Arabidopsis thaliana: one gene and its partners. The protein of the gene in region 1 interacts with the protein of each later gene in a pairwise test. Each region holds a gene or a part of one and is shown in the gene's direction. Other genes may lie near its edges.

The links.
Region 2: the proteins of ARF19 (region 1) and IAA8 interact in binary tests that used the Arabidopsis thaliana proteins (3 or more experiments, as listed by UniProt).
Region 3: the proteins of ARF19 (region 1) and IAA1 interact in binary tests that used the Arabidopsis thaliana proteins (3 or more experiments, as listed by UniProt).

The regions. Positions count from the first base shown.
Region 1 is NC_003070.9:6,625,260-6,635,841, reverse strand, and holds ARF19 (auxin response factor 19), read left to right. Parts: upstream 1-2,708; 5' UTR 2,709-3,062; coding exon 3,063-3,105; intron 3,106-3,401; coding exon 3,402-3,514; intron 3,515-3,593; coding exon 3,594-3,689; intron 3,690-3,766; coding exon 3,767-3,823; intron 3,824-3,907; coding exon 3,908-4,063; intron 4,064-4,154; coding exon 4,155-4,239; intron 4,240-4,326; coding exon 4,327-4,417; intron 4,418-4,493; coding exon 4,494-4,854; intron 4,855-4,931; coding exon 4,932-5,070; intron 5,071-5,152; coding exon 5,153-6,897; intron 6,898-6,988; coding exon 6,989-7,179; intron 7,180-7,263; coding exon 7,264-7,447; 3' UTR 7,448-8,159; downstream 8,160-10,582. Other genes in the region: AT1G19210 (Integrase-type DNA-binding superfamily protein), read left to right, coding at 8,312-8,869; AT1G19200 (cyclin-dependent kinase, putative (DUF581)), read left to right, coding at 9,947-10,494. UniProt on the Arabidopsis thaliana protein: Auxin response factors (ARFs) are transcriptional factors that bind specifically to the DNA sequence 5'-TGTCTC-3' found in the auxin-responsive promoter elements (AuxREs). Could act as transcriptional activator or repressor.
Region 2 is NC_003071.7:9,634,804-9,640,797, forward strand, and holds IAA8 (indoleacetic acid-induced protein 8), read left to right. Parts: upstream 1-1,576; 5' UTR 1,577-1,834; exon of another isoform or gene 1,835-2,004; 5' UTR 2,005-2,073; coding exon 2,074-2,094; exon of another isoform or gene 2,095-2,302; coding exon 2,303-2,820; intron 2,821-2,917; coding exon 2,918-3,147; intron 3,148-3,243; coding exon 3,244-3,385; intron 3,386-3,471; coding exon 3,472-3,533; intron 3,534-3,612; coding exon 3,613-3,656; 3' UTR 3,657-3,942; downstream 3,943-5,994. UniProt on the Arabidopsis thaliana protein: Aux/IAA proteins are short-lived transcriptional factors that function as repressors of early auxin response genes at low auxin concentrations.
Region 3 is NC_003075.7:8,359,042-8,364,085, forward strand, and holds IAA1 (indole-3-acetic acid inducible), read left to right. Parts: upstream 1-1,954; 5' UTR 1,955-2,140; coding exon 2,141-2,298; intron 2,299-2,390; coding exon 2,391-2,739; 3' UTR 2,740-2,992; downstream 2,993-5,044. Other genes in the region: AARE (acylaminoacyl-peptidase-like protein), read left to right, coding at 3,084-3,217, 3,514-3,695, 3,814-4,117, 4,199-4,423, 4,504-4,701, 4,798-4,872. UniProt on the Arabidopsis thaliana protein: Aux/IAA proteins are short-lived transcriptional factors that function as repressors of early auxin response genes at low auxin concentrations.

The DNA.
Region 1 (10,582 bases):
GAAAAATGTGAATAATCAAGGGTAAAGTGAAATTTCTCCCCACAAGTTGTGTAACAACAACTATATCGATTAACGAGTCAAAAATTAAATTACCACATGAAAAATGTCAAAGTTAATTAGGAACTTTTTTTTCATTGAACCAATTAATTTTTGATGAAATTTATGGTTTATTAATCTGACACAACACTGTATAAAAGATTTTTTTTGTTAAAAGTTAAGAAAGAAGAATGTTGAGAGAACCATCAATGTTAAACCAATAGATGATAGTCAAGATTCATAGTATAAAAATTTACCACATTGGTTGAGAGATCAATTCCTTTCACCATAATGTCAATCATAATTAGCCGCTAGAAACGTTTTCTATGTCAAAAATACACAGCTTTTTCATATTGATTTTGGTTCAGAATTTCATGGTTTTATACCTTGTTTGATAACGTCATTAGAACATATGTACTTTTGTACTACTGAAACATTAAACTAGTGTGCAAAACAAGATTTTAAGATAGTCTAAATTCCAGTTAACAGAAAAATAAAAAATATTGTTGGTTGGGAAATAGTAGAACAAACGAGAGAGAGAGTGTGTGTGGTTACGATGAGGAGAAGAGACATAGAGGCATACACTCACTTAAAAGCAAAACCATTTTGGCTAAACCGAAAGACTCGGTCGGAGTCTAGAGCCTGTCTCTCCCGACATCCTCTGCCACACCTCACGTGCATGCTGCACCCACACTCACGTGCACATACATTTTTCTTGTGTTTTAGTTATTTTAGTAAAAACGATATATTTATTGACTCTTTCTGTAATGGTGGTAGAAATTGAGGAATTCACAAAAGTCCCAAGTTTTTGTTATATATGGTGCATGCGTATGTATTTGAGGAAACTTTTGCAGGATGCGTGGATCAAATCCAATTATAATTTAATTTTATATAGATATAAAAGTCAATAGTGGGAGGTGAAAAAAATATCAACAATGATTGAGTGTTACTACTACTAGAATGGTTAATTCGTTTTGATGAGGAGTGATTTCTAAACACATCAATTGTTGTACGTACATATACTCTCCACGCGCAGCAAATATTGACCCAAAAAGGCATAAAAAACACTAAAGCATGCCAACTTTTTATTCTTGTTGAGATTTACTTTGTCGTCCCATATCTTTTCAAATTTTGATCCTCTATAATATATGTTTAAACCTAACTTATCAAACTTTACATTCCTTTTTCTTTTGCTCACTAGGTAAGGCTCTTGAGATCGCTTCACCTCATCTCTTGTTTAACATTTATAAACATGTAGCTGTCTGGTTAATCAATTTACATGTGGTAAATTATAAATTACTCTAGAAAGAGATGTATATTAAACTGCTAAGTTCATGGCTAATCTTCGGTATTTCTTGTTTAACCGCGATAAGTTGAACATATATTAATGAGCTCTTATGGTTTTTGTTTAATGTCCATTTGGAGGTGTGATCATCTCATATGTTCTCACCAAAAGATTACCACTTGAATTCTTTTACATGTGAAATGTTTTAATTTATTAACCCTCTTCTGTTTTGATCAAAACATAAACTATATATTTGAATCTTTTATATATAATTCATATTAATTAAATAACATCATGTTTTCAATGAATGTATTGACATGATATCAATGAAGAATATTTACTTTGGAAAGAGTCAGAGTTGTTCTCGAAAGATATTTAAATGTTCCAAATTATTTCCGTTTGTCTAAACATAGAAAATCCCTAATTACATATAAATCAACAAAAAGGTAATAATTAGGTCAAAACCTCCCCCACTAAATACATGTATACTGAGATTCAGAAATACAATACTATTATAGTATATGTTAATTGAAAGCAAAATTCATAAGAAAGATCGGCGTTGAAAGGAAAAAGGCTCTACAACTACATTTTATATGCATACGTAGAGAGCTGAAAGTAAGGAACAACTCTACTCCGGTCCAGATTAATTGTAAAGAACTTTATACATTAATTAAAACAAAAACGAACACTTTATACTATTGATTAAAAAAAGAAGAAGATGAATAAAATAATTGCCTGAAAAATTAATAATTACACATGAAGGCTTAGCTTTAATTGGAGTATAATGATGTCCGTAGCTCTGTAAACATGTGAAGTTCTCCTCCTTTTGCGGCTAGTGGGTGCTCCATTGCGTATCAAAAGGAATATTATTCTAATCATAATTAAGTCATTAAATTACTAGTAGTGTTTTTTTTTTTCTCGCATTATACGGACATGTCTCAATTTGGACCAATCCATATAAATGAATAAACTTATTAGCTACTACTATATTATAACAGAAAATATGTATATAAAAGAAAAAAAGTGGGACATCTTTTCTGGTAACCAAGAGTTTACAACTTTGGATTAGAAAATATTTAAGTCCCCATTTGGCTTGCAATTTTCGGTCCGCCGAACCTAATCCTTAGGTTTTTCTCAATATATCCGGGTTTATGGTATAACCTCATTCATAAGAAAATCCGTATTACTAAAGTAAAAAATTAAAAATATGGTTATAAAAACGAGGGAAAGTTAACAGATTTTAAAACCATGGACTGTTTTTCCAACAACAGTAAATTATAATCGGAAAAGATAAAAATAAAAAGAAATAAAAAAGGTGGGACCGACAAGAAGAAGACATCAAGTGGGGTGCCACGTCAGAAGGCATAAGAAAAGATTTCATCTTTCCGCATGTATCCGATCCCAATCGGCTTAAATCTCAATATCGATTATTGTTTTTATTTTTTTGAAAAAACACTTGAGAATCTGCAGAAACACGAGAAAAAAAAGAAAAGTTTCAAAGCTTTTTAAGAGCTTAAAAATTTGCTTTGAAGCTTCAAATATTCTTATGAACTAAAAAGAAGAAAAAAGCTTTTGTTTCTTTTTCCTTAGCAGCAGAATGATTTTTGTTTCCAAAATTATTACTATTTAGTTTCTCTCGTGCTCTTCTCTTGAGCAAATACAGATTCGTTAATTTTGCTGAAGAAGAAGAACTCTGTTTCTTCCCTGCACCAAACCAATTTTTTCGTTCTTTCTATAAACCATGAAAGCTCCATCAAATGGATTTCTTCCAAGTTCCAACGAAGGTACACAAGCTTTATATTTATCTTCTTCTTTTCCAGATTTTATACTATTCAATTTCTTCATCAAGGAGTTTCTGCATTTCATGTTTGTGATTTTCTCATTGAAAAAATGAATTTTGTTATTCAATTTCAACTTTGGAGTCAGCACAAAGTCACAAATCGAGTTCTTCTATCACTTTATTTAATAAAGTGGTTGAAACATAAATGCCGCTCATAAAATTTCCAGACTTTAAATGAAACTATGCAAAAATTCTATCACTTTTAACAGATTTGAATATGTGTGTGATGATGATGAACAGGAGAGAAGAAGCCAATCAATTCTCAACTATGGCACGCTTGTGCAGGGCCTTTAGTTTCATTACCTCCTGTGGGAAGTCTTGTGGTTTACTTCCCTCAAGGACACAGCGAGCAAGTAAGTTCATTGCGTTTCAAACTATTTTGAAACCTTTGGTAGCAATCTAAGTAATATGTTCAATGAAACCTTTTTTCAGGTTGCAGCATCGATGCAGAAGCAAACAGATTTTATACCAAATTACCCAAATCTTCCTTCTAAGCTGATTTGCTTGCTTCACAGTGTTACATTACATGTAAGTCTCTTCTGACTCCAACTTGTGAATCAACAAGAAGATGAACTAATCAGGACTTTTGTGAAATTCTGAATCAGGCTGATACCGAAACAGATGAAGTCTATGCACAAATGACTCTTCAACCTGTGAATAAGGTCTGAATTATATCATTCTTCTTGTGCTATCTTGGTTTAAAGTTGAGGACTTTAATGCTGATCTTTGCTCAAAATGTGTGACAGTATGATAGAGAAGCATTGCTAGCTTCTGATATGGGCTTGAAGCTAAACAGACAACCTACTGAGTTTTTTTGCAAGACTCTTACTGCAAGTGACACAAGCACTCATGGTGGATTCTCTGTACCGCGTCGTGCAGCTGAGAAAATATTCCCTCCTCTTGTATGTCTCTCTGATCAAAGCTACTCTCAGTTTCTTTTGCTTCAAACTTTTGAATCTGTTTTGCTAAAAGTTCTAAGGGTGCTTAAAATAGGATTTCTCGATGCAACCGCCTGCGCAAGAGATTGTAGCTAAAGATTTACATGATACTACATGGACTTTCAGACATATCTATCGAGGTTTGAATCATCTAAAGTTTGTTTTATTAGTCTAAAAGATTGAAAACTTCAACCTGATTTGTTTTCTTTGATGTAATCTGATCTCAGGCCAACCAAAAAGACACTTGCTTACCACAGGTTGGAGCGTTTTTGTTAGCACAAAGAGACTATTTGCGGGTGATTCAGTTTTGTTTGTAAGGTATGAGTCATACTTTGATCAAAACATTAAGCAGAATTGGACTTTCATCTTCTCATAAGGGTACTTGGGTTTGCAGAGATGAGAAATCACAGCTGATGTTGGGTATAAGACGTGCAAATAGACAAACTCCGACTCTTTCCTCATCGGTCATATCCAGCGACAGTATGCACATTGGGATACTTGCAGCTGCAGCTCATGCTAATGCCAATAGTAGCCCTTTTACCATCTTCTTCAATCCAAGGGCAAGTCCTTCAGAGTTTGTAGTTCCTTTAGCCAAATACAACAAAGCCTTATACGCTCAAGTATCTCTAGGAATGAGATTCCGGATGATGTTTGAGACTGAGGATTGTGGGGTTCGTAGATATATGGGTACAGTCACAGGTATTAGTGATCTTGACCCTGTAAGATGGAAAGGCTCACAATGGCGTAATCTTCAGGTAATGACATATCCGAGTTATGCTAAACTGTTTATGATGGTCATTTCTTCTGAATCTTTTGTTCATGGTTTAAACAGGTAGGATGGGATGAATCAACAGCTGGAGATAGGCCAAGCCGAGTATCCATATGGGAAATCGAACCCGTCATAACTCCTTTTTACATATGTCCTCCTCCATTTTTCAGACCTAAGTACCCGAGGCAACCCGGGATGCCAGGTGAGTTTACTGCTTTCGTTCATTTTTTTCCCATAGATCTTTGACTGAGTTTCCGGATACTAACCTTGGTGGTTTGTTGCAGATGATGAGTTAGACATGGAAAATGCTTTCAAAAGAGCAATGCCTTGGATGGGAGAAGACTTTGGGATGAAGGACGCACAGAGTTCGATGTTCCCTGGTTTAAGTCTAGTTCAATGGATGAGTATGCAGCAAAACAATCCATTGTCAGGTTCTGCTACTCCTCAGCTCCCGTCCGCGCTCTCATCTTTTAACCTACCAAACAATTTTGCTTCCAACGACCCTTCCAAGCTGTTGAACTTCCAATCCCCAAACCTCTCTTCCGCAAATTCCCAATTCAACAAACCGAACACGGTTAACCATATCAGCCAACAGATGCAAGCACAACCAGCCATGGTGAAATCTCAACAACAACAACAACAACAACAACAACAACACCAACACCAACAACAACAACTGCAACAACAACAACAACTACAGATGTCACAGCAACAGGTGCAGCAACAAGGGATTTATAACAATGGTACGATTGCTGTTGCTAACCAAGTCTCTTGTCAAAGTCCAAACCAACCTACTGGATTCTCTCAGTCTCAGCTTCAGCAGCAGTCAATGCTCCCTACTGGTGCTAAAATGACACACCAGAACATAAATTCTATGGGGAATAAAGGCTTGTCTCAAATGACATCGTTTGCGCAAGAAATGCAGTTTCAGCAGCAACTGGAAATGCATAACAGTAGCCAGTTATTAAGAAACCAGCAAGAACAGTCCTCTCTCCATTCATTACAACAAAATCTGTCCCAAAATCCTCAGCAACTCCAAATGCAACAACAATCATCAAAACCAAGTCCTTCACAACAGCTTCAGTTGCAGCTACTGCAGAAGCTACAGCAGCAGCAACAGCAGCAGTCGATTCCTCCAGTAAGCTCATCCTTACAGCCACAATTATCAGCGTTGCAGCAGACACAAAGCCATCAATTGCAACAACTTCTGTCGTCTCAAAATCAACAGCCCTTGGCACATGGTAATAACAGCTTCCCAGCTTCAACTTTCATGCAGCCTCCACAGATTCAGGTGAGTCCTCAGCAGCAAGGACAGATGAGTAACAAAAATCTTGTAGCCGCTGGAAGATCACATTCTGGCCACACAGATGGAGAAGCTCCTTCTTGTTCAACCTCACCTTCCGCCAATAACACGGGACATGATAATGTTTCACCGACAAATTTCCTGAGCAGAAATCAACAGCAAGGACAAGCTGCATCTGTATCTGCATCTGATTCAGTCTTTGAGCGCGCAAGCAATCCGGTCCAAGAGCTTTATACAAAAACTGAGAGCCGGATCAGTCAAGGCATGATGAATATGAAGAGTGCTGGTGAACATTTCAGATTTAAAAGCGCGGTAACAGATCAAATCGATGTATCCACAGCGGGAACGACGTACTGTCCTGATGTTGTTGGCCCTGTACAGCAGCAACAAACTTTCCCACTACCATCATTTGGTTTTGATGGAGACTGCCAATCTCATCATCCAAGAAACAACTTAGCTTTCCCTGGTAATCTCGAAGCCGTAACTTCTGATCCACTCTATTCTCAAAAGGACTTTCAAAACTTGGTTCCCAACTATGGCAACACACCAAGAGACATTGAGACGGAGCTGTCCAGTGCTGCAATCAGTTCTCAGTCATTTGGTATTCCCAGCATTCCCTTTAAGCCCGGATGTTCAAATGAGGTTGGCGGCATCAATGATTCAGGAATCATGAATGGTGGAGGACTGTGGCCCAATCAGACTCAACGAATGCGAACATATACAAAGGTTAGAGATCTTTCTCTCCCTTTCCATAGCTCTAATCTTTTGCTTCTTAATTTTCGAATGCTAAATGCCGAAAGTTGTTAAATCATTGAAGGTTCAAAAACGAGGGTCAGTAGGTAGATCAATAGATGTTACCCGTTATAGCGGCTATGATGAACTTAGGCATGACTTAGCGAGAATGTTTGGCATCGAAGGACAGCTCGAAGATCCGCTAACCTCTGATTGGAAACTCGTCTACACCGATCACGAAAACGATATTTTACTAGTTGGTGATGATCCTTGGGAGTACGTTCCAGACCTGAAAAATCTATCTGTAACAGTCAAGATTGAACAATTCTGATAATTCTTGTCTGTTTGTTTTTTCCACAGAGAGTTTGTGAACTGCGTGCAGAACATAAAGATACTATCATCAGTAGAAGTTCAGCAAATGAGCTTAGACGGAGATCTTGCAGCTATCCCAACCACAAACCAAGCCTGCAGCGAAACAGACAGCGGAAATGCTTGGAAAGTACACTATGAAGACACTTCTGCTGCAGCTTCTTTCAACAGATAGAAATAAAAAGATGCAAATATACCAAGTCAACTTACATTATCATTCGAGGCCATCGCAAAGTACATGTTTTTTTTTGTGTGTATGTACTGCAAACAACAAACTGAGAAGAAGAAGATACTGCACGGTATATAAACATTTTTATAGGACAGTGATTTGATTTTTCATTCTAACTTGATGTTGTTGTACTTTCTTGTTTCCATATTTGTATAACAAGTATAATGCTTGACAAGTCTATGAGGAGCATATCTTATACAGAGATACTAAGATGTAATGTTAATGTAACTAAACAATTACCTTCATTAATCATGAATCTTTGGTCGTTTCTTCTTCTTCTCTTCAGTGCCTCCTAAGAATCAGGGATCATTTCAGATTCTTTTATACCAGTATCCTCTAGACGCAGCGAAATATTCAACATTTCAACGTTTGAAAACGAAAAGAGAGGAGTTAAAGAAAGAATCACGTGAAAAACAAGGACAAGGACAAGAAAACCAAACAGTCTCTGAGATTTCCCGTGTGAGTTGTGACCCACACACATTAAGACTCAAGCTTCTAGTAACATCCGCCACGTGTCCATTCCCCTGACACTTTGCGGCGTTTTAAGTACAAACGCGCTCCCTTTGACCTTTGAAGCTGACCTTCTTTCTTCTTCACGCGCCATAAAAAGTCAAAAACTCACTCTTCACTCTTTTATTTCACTCGTATAAATAAATTTCTGAAGCGCCAAATACAATTATCTCAATTCAAATCAACACTAACACTGAAGAACAGAGCTCACTGAAAAAACTTAACAGAACAAAATTAAACCGGAAAACAGAGAAATCATACCGGGTTGGTTCAATCGCGTCTTTGTTTGGTTTAATCGTGATGGAAGGGTCGTCTTCTTCGATGCAGTCAAAGTACAAAGGAGTGAGGAAGAGGAAATGGGGAAAATGGGTTTCAGAGATCAGACTTCCCAACAGCAGAGAACGTATTTGGTTGGGCTCTTACGATACTCCTGAGAAGGCGGCGCGTGCTTTCGACGCGGCTCTTTATTGTCTCCGTGGCAACAACGCAAAGTTCAATTTCCCTGATAATCCTCCGGTGATCTCCGGCGGACGTAACTTGTCGCGATCTGAGATAAGAGAAGCTGCTGCGAGGTTCGCTAATTCGGCGGAGGATGATTCAAGTGGCGGAGCAGGATACGAGATACGGCAAGAATCTGCTTCAACATCGATGGACGTTGATTCGGAGTTTTTGAGTATGCTTCCGACGGTTGGTTCGGGTAACTTCGCTTCGGAGTTTGGGTTATTCCCTGGGTTTGATGATTTCTCCGATGAATACTCCGGTGATCGTTTCAGAGAGCAGCTTTCGCCTACACAAGATTATTATCAGCTTGGAGAAGAGACTTACGCCGATGGTTCCATGTTTCTTTGGAATTTTTGAATTCCATTATTCACAATCTGAAAATTTTGACTTGGGTTTTTTATTTTTTTTTGTAGTTCTTTACCCAATTTTTTTTTGATCATTGGGATAAAGAGTTATTCATTCACTATTTTTTTCCCACGTGTTAGATTTTTCAGATGGGAAAAGGCCAAACTTAATAAAACAATTATATTTGGATCTTCTGACGTCATTTGATCATATTATCATGATATCATCCACTCCAATCGCTTTCACTAGGCCCAATTACAAATCTTATTTTAACTGTACGATTAAGCCCAACAATAATACTTCAGGCCCATTAAAATCAATAAGGGTATTGTCTTATTAAATTTCAATTACAATTTTTACTTTAAGTTGTACGATTAAGCCTAATAATAATATTTCAGGCCCATTCAAACAAAGGCAATAAGGGTATTTGTCTTATTAATTTTTATATATTTATTTTCTGATATATTTGACAACGACCTTATTAATGTTTTAAGGGTTTTCAATATAATCATTTCAATGAATATCTTTTAAGAAAAAAAAATATACAATTCAGTAATCAATTAAGCCAGTGAAATTCAAGGATTAATTGGAATTAAAAAAATTGAAACAAATAGTTTAAAATTGTTATGAAATTATGCTACTATAATTTATCTAAACCAAAACGAATATTCTTAGCCACTAACTATTAACTTGACAAATCCTACAGTTAGTTATATTCAAAAAAAAAAAAAGAAGAAGAAGAATTAAGAATCTAGTTACGTAATTGTCTCAAATTCAAATTACATATTGCATTATATGTTTACAAGTGGCAAAAATGTTAATATAATATGCAGTAATTTTTTAAAAATAGAATCTGGATATATTGAAAGGAAAAAGAGTTTAATAGATAACGTAAAGAGCTTTATTAACAAAATGCGAATATCCGACCCGTAAAGAAATGCGGATATCCGGTGGGGCTAAGTCTGTAGCTTCTCCATTTCATCTTCTTTCTCTTCTCCACAATCAGATTTTCCTATAAGATTTGCTTCTTCCATTGCTCTTCTCATCGTCATATATCTTTCTGTTTCTTTTTTTCAGTTCTCGATTAATATGTTATCAAGCAATCCAATGACCTGGAAACTCTCCCACATGGTGGTTCCAGGTAAAAACTCCACTATTTCGCCGGATTATTTCACGGCTAGTCAAACAAGTCCTTTAGATATGATGAAATTCCCGTCGCCTGGAAGTTCGAAGAGGTACGATAATGGCGGTGGAATTGGTTTAGGTATCGTCGCTGCGCTTGAGAAATCCAGCATCGGGATCAATCCGGTTTGCCATACCGGTGCCGGTTCCAAAGGATTTGACCTGGCTCGATATTCCAAGAGATTCCAATTCGCGGCGGGGATTGATCTATCTGACTCTGAGGAATACACTTGCGTCACGACTCGTGATGGCCTGACCAAAGTCTATTACAAGGAAGAAGAGTTTGAATTTGGTCATAATCTATTGAACGGTGATCAGAGATGGAGAAAACCGATAGAAATCGCCGAGGAGTCACCGGCGAAGGAGAGGCGGGTATTGAGAGATTGTCCAGATTTTCTAACTTCTTGTTGCTTGTGTAAGAAGAAACTTCAAGGCAAAGACATTTACATGTACAAGTAAGCTCCTCCAATGTACCCTTTTTTATAATTCATATGACAAATATTTGGATTACAACAACTCCAAAGAAAGTGAATTTGATTAGAG
Region 2 (5,994 bases), on another chromosome or scaffold:
TCACAAAACGTAACCTCGTAATTTTACCGTCTAAAAATGTAAACTCGTAAAAATTTCTGAATCAATAAATATCTCAAATTTAATAATAATGAATTAATGATGATGATAATTATTTATTATTGTTTTATAATAATAATTAATTAAATTATTATTTAAATGGTTAACCCATTTAACAACTCAACCCATCAAATGAAATGAGTTATGGGTTAGACCCAACTCATTTAACAAAATGAGTTGGGTCAACCCATAACTCATTTAATCATAAACTCATTTGATTATGAGTTGGGTTGGGTTGGGTTACCCATTTTGACACCCCTAGTAACAACAGAATGAATTTTGTTTATAGAGACAAAAAAACATGAAGTAATGAACATTAAAAAAAATCTTAGTAATATAATGGGTTCTCTAATATAATCTAACCTTCGAGTGAGAAAAAAATGAACATAAAAAAAAGAAACAAGAACAATAAAAAGAGTGGGAGACAAGAGGGTGATAAATGGTATAGCTACGGGACGGTGACGTATGATGTGAAAGAAAGGAAGAGCGCGGGTGATGATGGAATTAGGTGACAGGCATGTGAACAACAGTGAAGCTGCAAAGCCTGATTTGGTTGTTTCCCTTCTCTTTAAGCGTGCTTCCAACGTGTCTCTTTGATCATGACCTTCTTCTTCAAATATACAACTCTTCACTTCTATTTTCATTTGCTCTCATTTTCACATTGATTGTGTTCTTAGAATTTTGTTCCTCGTGCAATCTCCTCACTAGTTTAACTAAATAATTATACATTGATTTTTGTTGTGAGTCTACTTAAATTATGGTATCTATTATTGTACATTTCATAACTATACCACACCAAAAGTAGAGCATATTAAGCAGCCGGCAAAACAAAGTTCAATTGCTGCTTTCTTGTCTCTCTCGTATCATCACTCTCCTTTGCTAATTGCTCTCAGCCCATAATTATAAACGAGTAGAAGAATATTTAACACTCTTTTTCGTAAATTTTCATTTTTTACCACTTGTTAAATGCTCTGTCTTACTTTTTTTTTATCCATTGTAATTTTCATTGGCGGTATGCATATTTTTAGACAGACAAAATTTAAACCGATACGTGGTCCCATAACTATTGAAACTCTGATTATAATGGAAAACATATTAAATTTATAGGTATTTTAGACCACTCAGCCTCTTAAATATTGGATGGTCCCATTTCTATCTAAATCATTTTAACAACAACAAAAGAAAATATACCATAAAACAATCTGATTTGATTTTACTTATTGCTAAAACCATATAATAATTTTAATAAAATATAATAAACACACGCATGTTATTTGTGGACCTACAAAATAAAATAAAAAGAATAACAGAGACAAAAAAAAGTCATTTCAAATATATAAATCAAATTAAAATTAATAATATTTTCATGTTTTTTTAAGCTTCCTTACAAAACAGAAACCTGAAACCATGTTACCTATAACAACGACATGTATTTATTATTATTTCTCCATTAGATCTAACGACTCAGAATCACTCTCACTTACTCATTCTCAACCGTCAGATCTAACTACAGTACTCCACACCACATACGAACAAACCTAATCTATCCTTAATACCCTTACTTTTGTAGTTTATTACTAAATTTACCACTCCTTCCATGTTTTTGTTTCTCTCTTCTTCTTGATTGTTGCGCTTTTGTTAGCTTTCTCTGGTTCATTTTCCATGGACGGACCTTGACCTCTCTGCTTCCCTTCGTGCATTTTCTCTCTCTCACTATCCTCTCTCTTTCTAGTGTTTGTTTGATCCTCTGCGTACTCTGTTCTTCTTCTCTCTTCAGGTACTAGTTTCAATTTCTCTAAAAGGAACTATTGAAACCTCCTTCTCTAGTTTCAATTTTCAATCTGGGTTTGTTTGTTTGGTTCTTGTAGCTTCTTTGGATTCATTATCATTTGGGTTTAGTTTATTTTTCTCGTAAGTAAGTGATTTAGTTGTGATTCTGAATTTTAGGGAAATGCTGAAGAAGTTAGAGTAAGAAATTTTTGGTTTTTGAATGGAAAGTGATTGATTTTGGGGAAGATGAGTTCTGGGAACGATAAGGTTGAATTCTGGCTATGAAACCTAGGTTAAAGTTTCTAACTTTATCTTACTTGTTAAGCAAATCTAACCCAATTCTCATCTGAAACCCTAATTTTTCTGGGTTCTTCTTAAAATTGAGAATTTTGTTCATGCATCTATAGAAAGTGAAGATTTTTATGTAATTAGATTGATTTTGGGTTGTTCTTCTTGTTGTTGTGATGCTAAGCAGATAAAACAAGTCCTGCATATTGAAGATCTGATGTCTTATCGATTGCTAAGTGTGGATAAGGATGAACTGGTTACGTCACCTTGTTTGAAAGAACGTAACTACTTGGGTCTCTCTGATTGTTCCTCTGTTGATAGCTCAACTATTCCCAATGTTGTTGGGAAGAGCAATCTCAATTTCAAAGCTACTGAACTGAGGCTAGGTCTTCCTGAGTCTCAATCTCCTGAGAGAGAGACTGATTTCGGTTTGCTGAGTCCGAGAACACCCGATGAGAAGCTTCTCTTCCCGTTGCTACCTTCTAAAGACAATGGTTCTGCTACTACAGGGCATAAGAATGTTGTTTCTGGTAACAAGAGAGGATTTGCTGACACTTGGGATGAGTTTTCGGGTGTGAAAGGATCTGTTAGACCTGGAGGAGGAATCAACATGATGTTGTCGCCGAAAGTTAAGGATGTCTCGAAGAGTATTCAAGAAGAAAGATCTCATGCTAAGGGTGGCTTGAACAATGCACCAGCTGCCAAGTGTGTATTATATGATGATTTGTTTATGAGTTTGTTTATGAGTTTGTTTATGAGTCAAGAACGAATCTTGTGGTAATCTGTGTCTATTGTTTTGCAGGGCACAGGTTGTTGGTTGGCCTCCAATCAGATCATACCGGAAGAATACAATGGCTTCTTCTACTTCGAAGAACACTGATGAGGTTGATGGGAAACCTGGTCTTGGTGTTCTGTTTGTGAAGGTGAGCATGGATGGTGCTCCGTATCTGAGAAAGGTCGACTTGAGAACTTACACTTCCTATCAACAGTTGTCTTCTGCACTTGAGAAAATGTTCAGCTGCTTCACCCTTGGTGAGAATTTACTATGTATTTAAGCTAATCATTGATTCTACTGTAAAACAGAATGAACCAAAGAACAGTGATTTCGATTCTTGTTTGTGATCTCAGGTCAATGTGGTCTTCATGGTGCTCAAGGGAGGGAAAGAATGAGCGAGATTAAACTGAAGGATCTTCTTCATGGATCAGAATTTGTGCTTACTTATGAAGATAAAGACGGTGATTGGATGCTTGTTGGCGATGTTCCATGGGAGTAAGCTTCTTTTGGAACTCTCAGCTTTAATAACTGTGGTTTTGTTTCCGTTCAAAAGTTGAATCCTTGTTAAAACCTATTTGCAGGATATTTACTGAAACATGCCAGAAACTGAAGATCATGAAGGGTTCTGATTCTATTGGCTTAGGTAAGTTTTCCAACATCTTTCCCCCTAATCTGAATACAAACTCAATGGCTCATTTCATTGTTGATTTATTCTGTGGCAGCTCCAGGTGCAGTGGAGAAATCGAAGAACAAAGAGCGGGTTTGAAACGAAGATGCTCAAGACAAAAAAAAAACACTATGCACAGTTCCAATGTTTAAGTTTTATTTACTGATGTGTTTGAAAACTCTTTAGTCTTTTTACTAATTTGTGTTGTAAGACTTTGGATTCTCTTATTTGTGTGTGCTTGTTCAAAACAAATACATTCTTATGTGTGTGTTTCTACTTTGACCTTCAAGATATTTCGTCTCTACGCAAAATCTTGATTTGTTTATTGTTAGCACTTAGTACCAAAGTCTATAAGTGATAATTACGATAAAGAACCTTTAACCACACAAAGTGGAATCTCAAATGATGGTTATTATCTTTAAAACATGAAAGTGTGTAAATCTGGATAAGCTTTAGACTAATCGCAATAGTGTCTTCTACAATATTCTTACAGATTAAATACTAGAAGAACAAAAAAAAAATGTAACTACATATATATATTTTTTTTGTTTTCGATTTTTTTGTAACATACATATAATAACGTATAAAGAAGACTGGTGAGTAGGAAGAGTAGATAAATAAACCTCACCTTACCGAAATAGAGGGCATATCAAATACATGTGGAGCAAGAGTGGATGAGATAGAGAGAAAGGAGAACATTTATGTAGTGAGCAAAATAGAGTTTGACAAATTTATAGTCTCATACTTCTAATAGAGGTAGATGCTAACATAGCTACCCAAACGAAGGAAAGATAATAAAAGAATGTGACGCATAAAAATTTGAATTTTAGCAAACTTCTTTTGAGAATTGTGAGCTCTGTTAACTCGTATTTGTAAATTTTTTTTTTACTAACATCTAATTTTATTTATCTTTGAGCTCCAAATTTATCCACACTATTTTATTTTATAGTAAAGTTTCATAAACTAAAACCAAGATTTATTTTTGTATTTGCAATTTATGTGTTTTATTTTTCTGATATATAAAATACAATACATGTATTGCTACAAAATATATATAGTTCTCACTTTATATGAAGTTAATTTTTTTTCTTAAATGTTAGTATTCATATTCTAATTCCCTCTTCCCTACATCTAAAAGAGTATTAATTTTCTTTAGATATTCGACATCAGCTGTCAAATTAGTCTTATCAAATGGGACTCAGTGATTTGCACAAATGTAGCACTTCTAAATGAGTTTGTGGTTAGTGCACTTCATCGTTGACTTTATTTTCAAATTTGATTGTTTTGCTATTCGTAAGAACAATTATATCAGTCACAGTCATATGTCTTGTTAATGCTTTTCTTTCATATGAACCACTAATTCTTTTTTTCATTGATCAAATTAATTTTAGAGAAGCTTATGATATTTGACTTTGGTAATAATACCAATACTCAAAGAGAGTAGCGAGGCCTAAACGTTAACATATTATTTATTCATTTTTATTTTATTTTTCATAATTTTATATCAAAACATTGGTTATAAAATATATAAAGTTATAAATGTCATCTATTTGAATTTATTATATATATTCACACTTGGTTTATATGAAAACTAGAATAGTTCAGTCCTAAAAACATTTTAACAAAAAAAAACTAAATTTTTTGAAAATAGTTAATTCATAATTTACAATTTTAGTAATCAAGTATTTTTTATTTTATTTTTGATTAATGTTTTTGACTTACTGAAAATTATGTTTTGTATAAAACAAATCAGACACTTAAGCGGCTAATTTTACTTAAAATTGGGCATTCGAAGGTTCATGAACTCCTAAGCGGGTGTCTAGTCGCCGCCTAAACCGATTTATTGAACATTGAATGCTACAATGAAACTCAAAAAATCATTTTTACATAAACTAGACTTATATTTTTGTAGCTTTTATTAGTAGTGTTGTTGTGGATCACCATCCAAACTAAAACCGGTACAATACAAGTAATAAACAGGAAATATATATACTTGATTTCATATTTTCATACTAACACAAAGACATGTTACTCAAATTCCACTGTAGAAAAACTTATTATCTTCTTACTCAAATTCTACTGCTTTGTTCTCCGCCGTTGCACATTTATCTCTACATGAGTGGACAACGTTGGATTTGTATGGTTGAGTTATTAGGTTTATTGGAGGCTACTTTCATAGAGAAATGAGAACACCGATCTTCTCAATCAGTACTATTGTGAATCAAGAATGCTAGATAACGATTTCATATTAGAAAGTTTAAAGGGTATAAAATACTTTATGGTAACTAATAGAACAATGATAGAGAAGTTTGAGGTACCGATAGATGGTTATGCACTTAAATTTAACAAAATATATATAATTTGGTATTAAAATTATGTTTTTGAAAGTTTTGGTTTATAAAAAAATTTCGTTTGTGATATGTAGCTATATAAATAT
Region 3 (5,044 bases), on another chromosome or scaffold:
GAGTTTGATAGGTTTTAGTAATTAACATGCCACACGAAACTCTCAAAGCTTAGGTATGGATTCTTGTATCGTTGACAATCGATATGCATATGAGAACAAACTACACACCATATTTGATAAATATGTAAGAAAATGAATATTCATCAACATGCGTTGAACATGGTTTAGCGTGAAAATAACAGTTAACATGGACACATGGTGACATAAGTATAAATGATATTATCATGATTCACCTACCTGCAGGAGATCCATCTATTGGGATCAGAAAATCCGTTATACTATTATATAGCATGTAAACTCTACAATTATGTTATCATCTCCCACACAATGAGAGGGATTTCCAAAACAGATTTAACAAATGTTACTTCTTATAAGCATACGTCTTGTTTTATATTGAACACGCAAGCCTCTAGCGACTAGCATCTCTGTATTTCATGATCAAGTTTATACATATACTTTTTTATTTGTTATACTCTTTATGTTTTTTTTAATAAAAAAAATTGTTTTGGATGAATATGAAAAGAATAAGAAACTAGAAATAACTTTTTGATTAATAATAGTTCAATAATATGAGTACTAATTATTAATTTAAAACACAAATGTTGTATGGAAAAACAAAAACAACAACTAAAATGACAAAAAATTGTTCAACCATCTTATAAACTTTAAACGTAGGGAGCATTACTTTATACTTGTTGTAAAAACGATAATGCTTATTGGTAAAATAACCCATATACATTTTGATTTGTCAATATGTTCATATATGATCTAGTTTTTGTTCTCGTTGTCGCTAGATAGACAATAAAATTTCTTAGTGGACAGTGATTGTGGAATGAATATACGCCCAACACAAATATAAACATCAAATTAAGGTGCATGCGGTATGGGAATTGCAAGTTAAATGAACATAGTTATGCGTAATTTCGAGAAGGGATTAATTGTATTACCTTGCTCGAAATACCACATGGGCCGTGTCCCCAAAAGCCCATTTAAAATGGTTTTTTTTTTTTTTTAAATCATCTCTTTAGATATTTTTTTCAACTCTTTTTCAACAAAATATATAGTTTCATATAGATATTTGTATTTATAATAAATGTTAAAATGAAATTTTACACAATAATTAAAATAAAATAAATAGAAAAAATGTTATTTGAGACAGCATATCACATGGCCTTACCATACTTCCTGCATCCATTATTCCATTAAGAACACTCTTCACCCTCATCCACATGCATCTCCCTCCCCAATTTATTTACTATTGATCATAATTGTACAAACCTATACTTACAATTTATATATGTGTCTACGAGAAAATAAATAATATTTTACAGTGTTTTGTCTATTATTTTGTTCTATAGTTTCTTGCAAACAAAACATTACTTTTCACGCAAAAACTGTCGAAATATTTATAAAAGGAAATTGTTAATTCTTCGATACAAATTGACCATTAATATTTGATCATCTATTCTAGACATCTACTCTACCATATACCAAACCTTTACACAAAAATGAAATATTTTCATGAAAACTACCCCACAACTGGGGTGATCGAAAAAGCTTGATCTATATGATCAACATGTCCAACACTAGTTTCATTTTTTCTACTATGATATCCGATGATCCAATCTGAACTATACAAAATGTATCTAGATATTTTCTTGAATCAATCCGAATAACGAATAGTTGCAAAACATAAACCTAGCGTGATCGTGTGGTAGAAGGACGAAGGTCGAGAAGTTCTCTTACTCTTATGATTTTCTCTTTACTCATTTGACCGTAAGAGAAAGAAACGGCTAGGATCTCGCGTACGCAACTGGCGGAGACAAATCAGGACCGTTGAAAATAAGAAAGAAGCCGCGTCCAAAATCTTTGTGTCCCACCTTTGTCCCCTTGCCTCTAACTTGCCTCCTCATGCTCCCCGACAACGTCATAATTCATATCTCTCTCTCTCTCTCGTTAACCCTAATTTCAAAGCATCTTTCCTTATATAAATCTCTCTCTCTCCCTCACCATTACACAACACACACAAGCATTTTCAAGGATATCAAATCACAATCCCAAGAAGAGCAATAACAAGAGAAGAAGAAGTAGTTCAAGAATTAAGGAAGAGAGCTTCTCCGTTAAAGTATAGTGAGAGAATATGGAAGTCACCAATGGGCTTAACCTTAAGGACACAGAGCTTCGTTTGGGATTACCCGGAGCACAAGAAGAACAACAACTAGAACTTTCTTGCGTCAGAAGCAACAACAAGCGCAAGAACAACGACTCAACAGAAGAATCTGCTCCTCCTCCTGCAAAGTAAGTTGAGATCTGAAAGTTATAGTTTTAATATCCAAACTTCTTGATATCAATCGGTGTACTAATAATGAATCTTGATTTGTAAACTTCAGAACACAAATCGTTGGATGGCCTCCAGTGAGATCTAACCGTAAGAACAACAACAACAAAAACGTGAGTTATGTGAAAGTGAGTATGGACGGAGCTCCATATCTCCGTAAGATAGATCTCAAGATGTACAAAAACTATCCAGAGCTTCTCAAAGCACTAGAGAACATGTTCAAGTTCACAGTAGGTGAATATTCCGAGAGAGAAGGCTACAAAGGATCTGGATTTGTACCTACTTATGAAGACAAAGATGGAGATTGGATGTTGGTCGGTGATGTTCCATGGGACATGTTCTCTTCATCTTGTCAAAAACTCAGAATCATGAAAGGATCCGAAGCTCCTACTGCCTTATGATCCATTGTCTCAAAACACCTTTTGGTCGAGGCAAAAACAAATTCTACTTTGTTTAGATAAAAAAAAGTTTGGTGTAAAGAAAGAAAAAGCAATAGGGTTACAAATACGTTATATAGATGTAAACTAGCTTTGGTTAATTCTGTAAAAGATGAGTTTTGATTATACGAAGTTTATATGTATGCTCAAGATATTTGATACTAACATAACCAATAAAGTTTAGTATTTGATACTAACATAAGTTTGGGACATAGTGAAAGATATAAAATTTTGGATTAAGAAATGGGCAATGTAATGGATATCACTATCGAAAGTTTTCAACTTTTTTTTGTTTTGTTTAATATTAGATGGCGAGAATCTTTAGTCACTACCCAATAACTTGCTCCACCAATTTGGGATTTGACTTGAGCTCTTCTCATCGTCATCTTCGTCGCCTTCTTTTCCGATCTACTTTCATCACTCCTTCACTCACTCAGTCTCCGTAAGCTCTTCTTCTTCTTCTCTCAGTCTCTGTTTTTCAATCCGAAAATTCATTACTTTGATGGTGTTACCACGAATTGAGAATCATTGATGGTATTGCTTTGATGGGTATCGTTTATATGACAGTTTTTAATCCGAAAGTTTATTACTTTGATTGGTTTTTTGTTTGTTCTGTTTTAACGAATTTGAAGCCAATCATATCTACTAAGAACTTGATTGGTTTAGAGTTATGGATGATGAATCTGATTAATGGAATTGTTTTGCAATCATTAGTGATTTATGAGATACTTGTTTCAGTTACAAGAATTGGATTCGAAGATTTGTAGCTATGGATTCTTCTGGAACTGATTCGGCTAAAGAATTGCATGTTGGTTTGGACCCAACTACAGAGGAAGAGTATGCCACACAGTCAAAGTTACTTCAAGAGTTCATTAATATTCCCAGCATTGATAAAGCTTGGATTTTTAATTCTGATTCTGGTAATCACTTTTGCATATTCAAGTTGGGACTTTGTAAATTAAGATTTTTGAGTCTTTTGTTGTTGAAAATCATCTTCCCAAATGAAATGATGTTTTCACTTTGATGCTCTTACTACAGGTTCTCAGGCAATGTTTGCCTTGAGTCAAGCAAACCTTTTGGCTAATAAAAAGAAGAAGTTTATGTTGTCGGGTCATATTTCGAACGAAAGTAACCAATCTGTAAACTTTCACTGGGCGCCATTTCCCATCGAGATGACTGGTGCATCGGCTTTTGTCCCATCTCCATCGGGATTGAAGCTCCTTGTAATTCGAAATCCTGAAAATGAATCTCCTACAAAGTTTGAGATATGGAATTCTTCTCAGCTAGAGAAGGAGTTCCATATTCCACAGAAAGTTCATGGCTCTGTATACGTTGATGGATGGTATGGCACTTTGTTTTTGGCTGATTTTTAAAGACAAGTTCTTGTAGAAGTATAAAAATGAGTAAGGCTTATGTATGATAGGTTTGAAGGGATCTCTTGGGATTCAGATGAGACTCATGTTGCGTATGTCGCCGAGGAGCCATCTCGTCCCAAGCCTACATTTGATCATCTTGGTTATTACAAGAAAGAAAATTCTTTGGACAAGGGTATTGGAAGCTGGAAAGGTGAAGGGGATTGGGAAGAGGAATGGGGAGAAGCATACGCCGGAAAAAGGCAGCCTGCACTGTTTGTTATCAATGTTGACAGGTTTCCATCAATCTCTCCATAAGAAAAGAACAACTACCCAGTACTTTTTATGATGGTTGTTTCTCTTTTTCTGTTAACAGTGGAGAGGTCGAGCCAATCAAAGGAATTCCTAGATCAATAAGTGTTGGACAGGTTGTTTGGAGTCCAAACAGTAATGGATCAGCTCAATATTTGGTTTTTGCCGGTTGGTTAGGAGATAAAAGAAAGTTTGGTATTAAGTACTGCTACAACAGACCATGTGCCATATACGCAATTAAGTTCACATCGGATGAACCAAAGTAAGTTGGCAACTTCTATAACTACTAAAAGACAGCTTAATAATTCCTAATTTCCGAAAAAATATCTTATAAAGTTTGTGTTTACTTGTGTTTCAGAGATGATGACGCAAATGAATTCCCTATTCATAATTTGACTAAGAGCATAAGCAGCGGGTTTTGTCCTCGGTTCAGGTTTACTTCTTATGAATTTTTTCCTTAACTTAGAAAAGTTATGTAGAGTATTTGTTGTCCTTGTTACTCTGTTTCTAACTGAGCGTTCTTGCACAACTTTGTTAAACATTTCCCTTATATATAGTGGTGTTGATTTGCAATGTTCATTTTAATTATGACCTGTTTAAAACTT